2 linked regions of the Ovis aries genome follow. The protein of the gene in region 2 purifies or fractionates together with the protein of the main gene of each other region. This does not show direct contact. Links are inferred from orthologs where the notes say so. Each region holds a gene or a part of one and is shown on either strand. Other genes may lie near its edges.

Region 1 (4,614 bases), on a different chromosome or scaffold from region 2:
AAGCAGAGGAGCACCTAAGCCCATGGGCCACAGCTACTAAACCCATGCACTCTAGGGCCCTCATGCCACAACTACTGAAGCCTGAAGGCCTCGCTCTGCAGCAAGAGAAGCCACTGCAATGAGAAGTCAGGGCACTGTAACTAGCGAGAGTCCACACACAGCAAAAAATAATAAAGAAAATAAAATTTTTTTAAAGAGTGAAAGAAAATAAAATCCAGTTCAGGAAAACCAAAGAAAGAGCATGAAGAAATAATGCTCTTATACAAATACGCCTACATGCAATACATACTATATGTAAAATATAAGACTGCACCTTGAAAGGCTCCATACAGTTATTTCACATTAAGCTGTCAAACATTTTTTATTTAAATTCTTACTATGGTGGAAGTTATCAATATTTTTGGTTCCTACTCTTTTTACAGTTCTAGTAGAATACATACTAAGCATTTGCTTGGCACATTTTGTACAAACTTATCATTCTCCTGTAGTCTCAAATGATATTTTTATCAAATAAAACCCACTGATTATAAAATCAAATTTTATGTGACTGCCAAAACTCTATCAGAATTTTTTTTAAATCTTACAGTTTCTGTAAGATCCCTCATCCCTAGGAAAGTTTCCCTTCCTAGCTGTTATACATTCAATTTTCTTAAAAGAATCACCATACCTACCATTTGTTATTTCTTTCAACTCACCCAAATATAACTGCATTCCACTGCATGATGTTGTTTTCTGATGGTGCGCCACTGACACCCACAGGTGGGTCCTCTTGCAATCTAGAAATCCAGAATAGAAATTTTAAAAGTTGAACATTAAGGCCACTAAGAAGGCCAGTCAAACATCTTTCAACCATCTACTTTGAGAAACAAACTAAATCCATTTTCTTGTTGTGCTGAGCTGGAATAAACCATACCACTTTAAATGGCTTGGGAGTCATCCCTCTTCAAATATCACCAAGGTTAAGATATCTGTTCAAGAACTACTTTTAACAATAACAACAAAGGAAAAACCTCAAGTGTAAAAAAACACTATTTACTCAACTATCAATTTTGCTACTGTAAACATGCAAAGGCTGTGTGAGTCCTAACCAAAGCTACTTGGGCAACATGGCCACCAAAAAAACTCTCCCCCAAACAAAATATAAAGACCCCACCTCAGTGTAAACATTAAATGACTGAAAAACACTTGCATCCAGTTTAATCAGGAAACTAGTTTTGGGCAGTAGAACTACTTTATTCCATTTGCGTTAGCAGCAGCTTTTAGAGTAAGCAAAGCTCTGGCTAGGTTTTCCCTCAGTCCCTATTTTAAAAGCTCTGCACCAATACTGCATTTTACCTCTCAGATCATGCGCCCATATACAGAGCTACCTTCCAACACCTGTTACAAACTCTTGCAAAAGACGACCCTTGGAAAACTACCGAAGGTGCCAAGCACACAACTCAGAATTAAGCAGAGAACTGCAATGAGAAACCAGGGTACCAAAGGCCAGGAACCTCGAAATTTTATTATTGGAATTTCACTCATGGGAGCTAATCTGAAATCTATGGTTTCAAGCTGTAGAAACAGAGTTTTGCACAAAAAGGAGTATCTCCTTTTAAAACTGTCATCTCAGGAAAAAAAGTAAACGCGACACTAAATATACACACACACACACACACACACACACACATAAACACACCGTCATGTGATATGATTCTTGGAATTAGTCCCCCAAAATGGCTTTTAGTCAACCTTAAGCAGTACAGGCCACGACGAAAAGAAGAACCCTTGGAAGATACGGGGCGTGATATCGCCCACCAAAGATAAAGGCTAAGTTACCAATACACTCAAGGCCAAACTGGGCAAAGCCCCAAACAATGGCTTCCAAGTGCCTCATTTAAAGGTTTACAATGAAGTTGAGAGGTTACTTCCTGATAAGCCAATCCAAGTTTTTACACTGGATTTTTTCTCTCGAGCAGGGCAGATCTCCCTAGAAAAACACTTATAAATGCGCACGGGAGCGTAACGCTAAGTTTTCTTGGTTATTTTCTTCTCCGTACCTGTAAGCATTCAAAGTAAAACAACTGGGGGGAAAAAAGTCACTTCCTCCTCATCAACCCTAATATCTAACAAAACCCTATTTTACAAAAGAGGCTCAGGGAGTATCAGCTTAGCCCCAGCCTCCAGAAAGGCATTTTTCCAGACCTTGGAGGCTATAGATAGGTCTTTACACACCAGGCCACAGAGCTGAGTTCCAGAAAGCACTGGCAGCCGGGTTTGCCAGCCCGAATCGCAGCCCTCTAAGCCAGTTCTCAAGGTCCTTTCAGGCGGGCGGGGAGGGATTGGGGGGGGAAGAGTCGGGTTTCGGAGGATGGGTTAACAACCTCCGGCCCTCGCGCATCAGACCCCACCCTCACTGCAGAAAGAATGGGGAGGGAGGCGGGGGTTGGCCCCAACCCTGGCAGTCGGAAAGGCGGCAAGGCCATCGAACAAAGCTGACTGGTGTAGCTAGCGGTGGAAAGGCTTCTGCAAGGGCTCGCTCTTAGGGCAGAGAGAAGAGGCACCGCAGGGTGCAGAGGCGAAGGATGAGATTTGAAAGCCAGGGCGAGGTATCAGGCAACTGGCCGCAGTGGGCAGCAGGGAATCGTAGGACAAACCATAGCCATCTTTTTACTTTTTTGTGGGGGTAGGGTGGTGGTGAGGAAGTATCAAAATTTCTTACGTAGGACAAGTGAACAACCAAGGAGAAGAGAGTGCTAAAGCGGGGCTGGAACTGGGCTTCCATCTGTCCCCCTGGGCCCACAGCAGCCCTCTTAGGGTCAAGAGGGGAAGGTGTCCCGGATCCCCACCCTAGCCCCGGAGCTTCGGGGAGGAGTCGTCATTCAGGCGAAAATGAAGGCCCTTACCTCTTGAAATCCCGCATAAGCCTCCTCCGGGCCGGGGTCGACATGCTCCCCAGCAGCCCCGCGGTCAGTCTGAAAGAAAAGAGTCCCGCGCAGCCCCCCCACCCCCCGGCGCGGCGGCCGAATCACTGTGGGTCACCGCCGCCGCTGCCGAGGTTGCACAAACAACCCTGCAATGACGTCTCCCTCCGCCGCCTCCAGATCCCTCCGCCCTCCGCCGGTACCATGCAGTGAGGGGTGGGGGAGAAGGGAACGGGACGTAGGAGAGCTAGTTACGGGGCCCCTTCACCAGGGACCTTATCCCTTTTGTCTCCTTGAACGAATTGACCAATTACTGTTCCTTATGCTCAGACTGGAGGTTGTGATAAAGAAGTACCGGAACTGAAACAACACCAACCCGTCTCCCCCTCTTTCACTAGTTTAGGCTCAGCCGGGTGGGGAGAGAGGGACGCATCCGGGGCCAGAGATTTCAGGGAAAGGAGGTAGGATGACGTAAGATCACGTGACTGCCGGCGGCGTTGTCAACAATCCACCTCCGAGGGGGAGGGGACGAAGTATCTAGAACCACGTGTCCCTATGACGCCATTAGGACGGATCACGTGAGAGCGTCTCCTGGATCTAACTTTCAGCCGTCTTTCAGCCCGGTAGTTAAATTTATGGGCTGAGGGCTGGTAGGCACTTTTATGTTTTTTCTCCATTTTGTCCTGTGGACAGCTATTGATGAGATTGTGTCGGAAGCAGTAGTTTGTTTTGCTTCTTAAATCTTTAAAATAGAGCCCCAAATAATTTGGATTTAAAACTCCCCTCTGGTTGGCTCAATGGCTTATCAAATCTGGCATCTGAGGAAAAGTGAAGGGACCTCCGTTTTCCTCAGCTGAATGCAGAGGCCCATACAAAGCGAAATCCCCTGAAATGCTTCCTTAGGGCCACCAAATATTACTGTATGAGCATTGCAGTGTGTTTCCAGGGTTGGCGATGCTGGGCAGAGATTAAAGAACGGTGTACAGATTGTTTAATGTTTGTTTACAATCCCCACAGGATTACGGAATTTTGTTTATCCTTTATGAGTCTGCTCTTATTTGAGGCTTTGTGTCAGAGTCCTTGGATTGGTCTACAGTGGGGTACCATTGTATTTGTCAAGAAATGTGCAGGTTTGATCATAGAGAGTGTGTATAAAGAGAGTGTAGGTGACTAGTTGCCAAACCTAAAAGTTTGACTCACATGTGGGGGAGAGATCATGCAGACGTGGATAGGGGTTGTATATCTAGCCTGAGTAATTTATTTCAGATTTTCAACACTAGTAAGTTAATAGCCTGAAACGTCCCCCACCGGGGCTCAGAGATACTGGCCGTTGGAATTCTGACATTATTTCTAGTCATTGAGTTTCCTTCCTCTATCGCCTCCAATTCTGTTCTTAAAGACTTTTTTTTTGGCTGAACCCTGAGCTCTTTAAGTCCATTTGGGTGATTCCTCAACCCAAGGTGTTACAGTAAGACAGAATGAGGAATATGGCGTTGGGCATACTTTCATTGAACTAGAAAGGGTTAGTTTCCCCTACTTTTCTGGTACCTCTCTTTCTTCAATCCCTGAATTCTTTCTCTTGCTTTTATTAAATGCCTTGGTAATCAAGTTAGCCAGATCTAATACTTGATAGATACCCACCGACAAATGTAATTCTCTAAGTCAAAAAGTTATTTTCTTATTTTCATTTTTTTGCCATAGCAATCCCTAT
Region 2 (3,814 bases):
CCAGGGGATCTTCCCAACCAGGGATGGAATCCAGGTCTCCCATATTGCAGGCAGATTCTTTACCGTCTGAGCCACCAGGGAAACTGCTTGAAGGGCCTCCCACTGGTCAAATCTAGGACAATTTTGACCACCAGAATAATGGGACTCCATGAATACATACTGATACAAATAAAAAACTGAATATTTGGTAAGAAACAGGATATTTAATAGTCTCAAAGTATCTCACCACCAAATATTTAGTGATTAGAGAGGGAAAAAGAGTAACTCCACAGTAGAGAAACCTTGCAGAAATCCCCTAATCAAGTGATCAAAGTTAAAGAGCTTTTGAACCAAACCAAAATCATATGCTACTGGAACACTGAGAACATGTGATTTTTGTAATATTTCTGTGAAAGAGACAACCTGACTATAACCATGAAGGGTACAGACAAACCCAAACTGACAGGCATTTACAAAATAAATGGCCTGTGCTTGTCAAAAGTGTCCAGATCATGAAAGCCAAAGAAAAACCAATGCAACATTCCAAACTGAAGACTGAAAGACGTGACATACAAATGCATGTTTTGGAACTGGATATTTTTGATACAAAGGATGTTATTGCAACAACTGGATCTCAGTTTCCTCATCTGTAAATCATGAGATTAAACTAGATCTACTGCTCCAAATACCAATAAGGGACTTAGGTTTCTGTACAGACAAACAAAAAACTAGATCTAACAGTCTTTCAATATACAAAAAGCTCTTGACTGGTATTCTAACCATAAAGAAAGATTGCCACAGACACCCAGAAGTTATAACCAAAATTAAGTTGTATGGGAAAAAGTCTAAAAGAAAAAATATTATACAATCAATACTGCATCCACACATGGAACATTATCTAGCTATATGAGCTGACATGGACAGATATCAATGGCAAGATTTTGTAGAGAAAGGAAAACTTAGCCCAGTATATCTACCATAGTCCCTTTTCTACGTATGTCTGCATATATATGTTTAAGATAGCCCCATATATGGGCATGTATATGCACAGAAAATTTCTGGAAGGCTACATAAGAGTTTGTCAATAATGATTAGTTCTGAGAAATAGGAGATCGTCCTAAAGGGAAACAGAGCACTTTCCTCTCCATCTTCTACCCTTGTACACTCAATTCTCAACAAGAAATTTAAAGTCAGCCTAGTAGCAGTAAGTACATATAGCACCCAGACCACAGTTTCTAACATTCCCAACTAAAAGGAAACTCCCTGCATAAGTGACTGATTGCACATATGGGTCAGAGTAAGTACAAAGTGAGGTGTGGACATCTTGTGCCAGAAAGCAAAGAAGCACCCAAAGACTATGAAAGGCACGGGAAAAGGGACCAAGAAGCTAGCGTGATGGGGCACTCAAAGGCCAAACATGGGGTAATTCGAACATCAGAAAGAATCACTCCATCAAGAAAAGCAGGAAAGCGATCATTACAGGAGTCAAGGTAGGGGTTAACTGTGGGGGAGGAAGAAAGCACACTATGGGTTTCTGAAATCCTGGTGATACTCTACTTCTTGACCTGGAAAATAACATTTGTTTATAATAAGTTATTAAACCAAATATATTTGTTGTGTAGACTTACACACACATACATATATAAAATATTTCATAATTTAAAAATTAAAATGTAAGGTTTCAAGAAAAAAATAAGTCAAGTGAAAACAAGAAGGAAAGAAAGAAAATGGCAATATCTTACCTGCAAGAGTATGTAGGTTCTCCCACTTTAAAAACACGACCACAAAGATGAGAAGGTTTATTTGTTTGTTCAAGTTTGGAAAATCCCAACTCAGGATCTTCACCACAAAGGTACCATTCCATTGGTCCCAACAAAACTTGGTGTGCCAACATGTCTTCTTTCTGTGGAAAAGGGTTGGGACCCCTGCAGTAGATTTTGGGTACATAGTGGGCCAAATGCTGGTATACTTCTCTAGTGAGGTCAGTTGCTTGCAGCCATTTCTTTAAAAAAAGAAAAAATAATTTTAAACAAAGTCAAGAAACTGCAAATTTAAATAAATCTACTCTATTTTCTTCTAGACACAAAAAATAATGACAAAAGAATCTTATAAATTGTTTTATTGACAACATTCATCACTGTATGCCTTTTCAAAAAGGGTAAAACATTTAGAATTTAACTACAATAGCCAGTATCTTAGAATTCTACTTAAAGTGAAAGCAAAATCAACAGTGAAATGAGCCCATCTCCTCAAAATGACTCCTGAAGCAACCTTCTATAGGCAGTCCAGGAAAATAACCACAACAAATCATCTTAAAGATGCTAGCCATTGAGCCCATCCGACTTCCTTTCTAATTTCTTTTGTTCAAATGATACTCTGCTTGTGATCTGGATTCTCTTTTCAGTTTGCTGACAGGAAGAACATACAGTAAACATGAACAGCCAATATACTAATTCTATTTCTCAATGATTAATAAATGACACGGCACAAGAGACTTTGTTTTAATGATTATGTTCTTTTCCCCCTGATCAACCTCTGCTTAAACCCTTAAAACATTTTAGAAAGCCACTTTTTCCTGTACCCAAACTTTCATGCCCTACTACCTGTGGTAATTTTACTTAGATATCTAACAGATATTGTGATATTATAATTTACAATAAGAAACATATTTTTGGTTTTCTCATTCCTGGCACAGAGCTCCTAAAACTCTTGAAATGTCCTAAGTATAAGTGAGATAAAGGAGAAAGGAGTGTCTTTTGTTATTCAAAGCAAACCTCTTTCAATCAGACCTGAACTGCAGTTACTGAGGTGACTTTTGGAAAGCCCCTAAGGATGGGGAGCTGGTTGCCACAGGAACATGATTAGTAGGTGGGAACTTAGAGCCTCCACCCCAACCAACTTCGGTGAAGGGAGAGGTGCTGAAGGTGAAGTTAATCACTCATGACCAATGATTTGATCATCACGCCTTTGGAGGCATGAAGCCTCCATAAAAATCCCAAAGTGTCGAGGTTCAGCCACTTTCTTCCTTGGTGAACAGGCAGAGGTGCTAACGTGCCCAGGGAGGGCATGGAAGCTCCACATACCTTCCTCTATTTCATTTGATTATTCCTGAGTTGTATCATTCTATAATAAACAGGTAACCTAGTAAATAAACTGCTTCCTTGAGTTCTGGCAGCCACTGCAGCAAACTATTGAACCCAAAGAGGGGGTCACAGGAACTCCCCTCATTTGCAACATAAATTGTGGGTAACCTGACAACCCCCTGCTTATGAGTGGCATCTGAAGTAGTAATGGGGGCAGCTTTGTGGGACTGAGCCCTTAATTTTGGGGATCTGATGCTACCTCCAGGTATATAGTGTCAGAATTGACCAACTTGTAGGGCACCCAATTGGTGTCTGCTGAGGAGAGAATTGCTTGATGTGGGAAAACCATTCCCCTACATTTGGTGGCTGGGAGTGTTGGTGTGAATGTAAACAGAAACAGAAGAAATAGTTTTTCCTTTCGGGCACCAACTCAATATGTCCCAAATTGAACTCATGATCTCCCACAACACAAAACCCCCTGCTATTTTCTCCATTTCCCTATTTTAAACACCAGCATTTACCAGGTATTCAAACCAGAAAAACAACATTCAGTTAATCATCATGTCTTGTCTATTAGGATTCCTCAACATCTGTTGAATCCACCCATTTCTTTCTCTCCATCTCTACTGGCACTGCCTCCATTACCCTAGTCCAAACTGCCCAGAGCCATCAAATTAGTGCAACCATATTCTAACTGGTAATCCCCACTAGTTTGGCCCCTCTAAAGTCCATTTTTCCAAACTCACTACCAG

The links.
Region 1: the proteins of UBR2 (region 2) and UBE2B purify together in Homo sapiens (affinity purification with western blotting; 3 studies listed by BioGRID, with this or other methods). This does not show direct contact. The link is inferred for Ovis aries from reciprocal best matches to the Homo sapiens genes UBR2 and UBE2B.

The regions. Positions count from the first base shown.
Region 1 is NC_056058.1:43,581,214-43,585,827, reverse strand, and holds the start of UBE2B (ubiquitin-conjugating enzyme E2 B), read right to left. Parts: upstream 3,057-4,614; 5' UTR 2,930-3,056; coding exon 2,886-2,929; exon of another isoform or gene 777-2,885; coding exon 696-776; exon of another isoform or gene 1-695. UniProt on the Homo sapiens protein: E2 ubiquitin-conjugating enzyme that accepts ubiquitin from the ubiquitin-activating enzyme E1 and transfers it to a E3 ubiquitin-protein ligase. In vitro catalyzes 'Lys-11'-, as well as 'Lys-48'- and 'Lys-63'-linked polyubiquitination.
Region 2 is NC_056073.1:16,300,217-16,304,030, reverse strand, and holds part of UBR2 (E3 ubiquitin-protein ligase UBR2), read right to left. Parts: intron 1,982-3,814; coding exon 1,722-1,981; intron 1-1,721. UniProt on the Homo sapiens protein: E3 ubiquitin-protein ligase which is a component of the N-end rule pathway.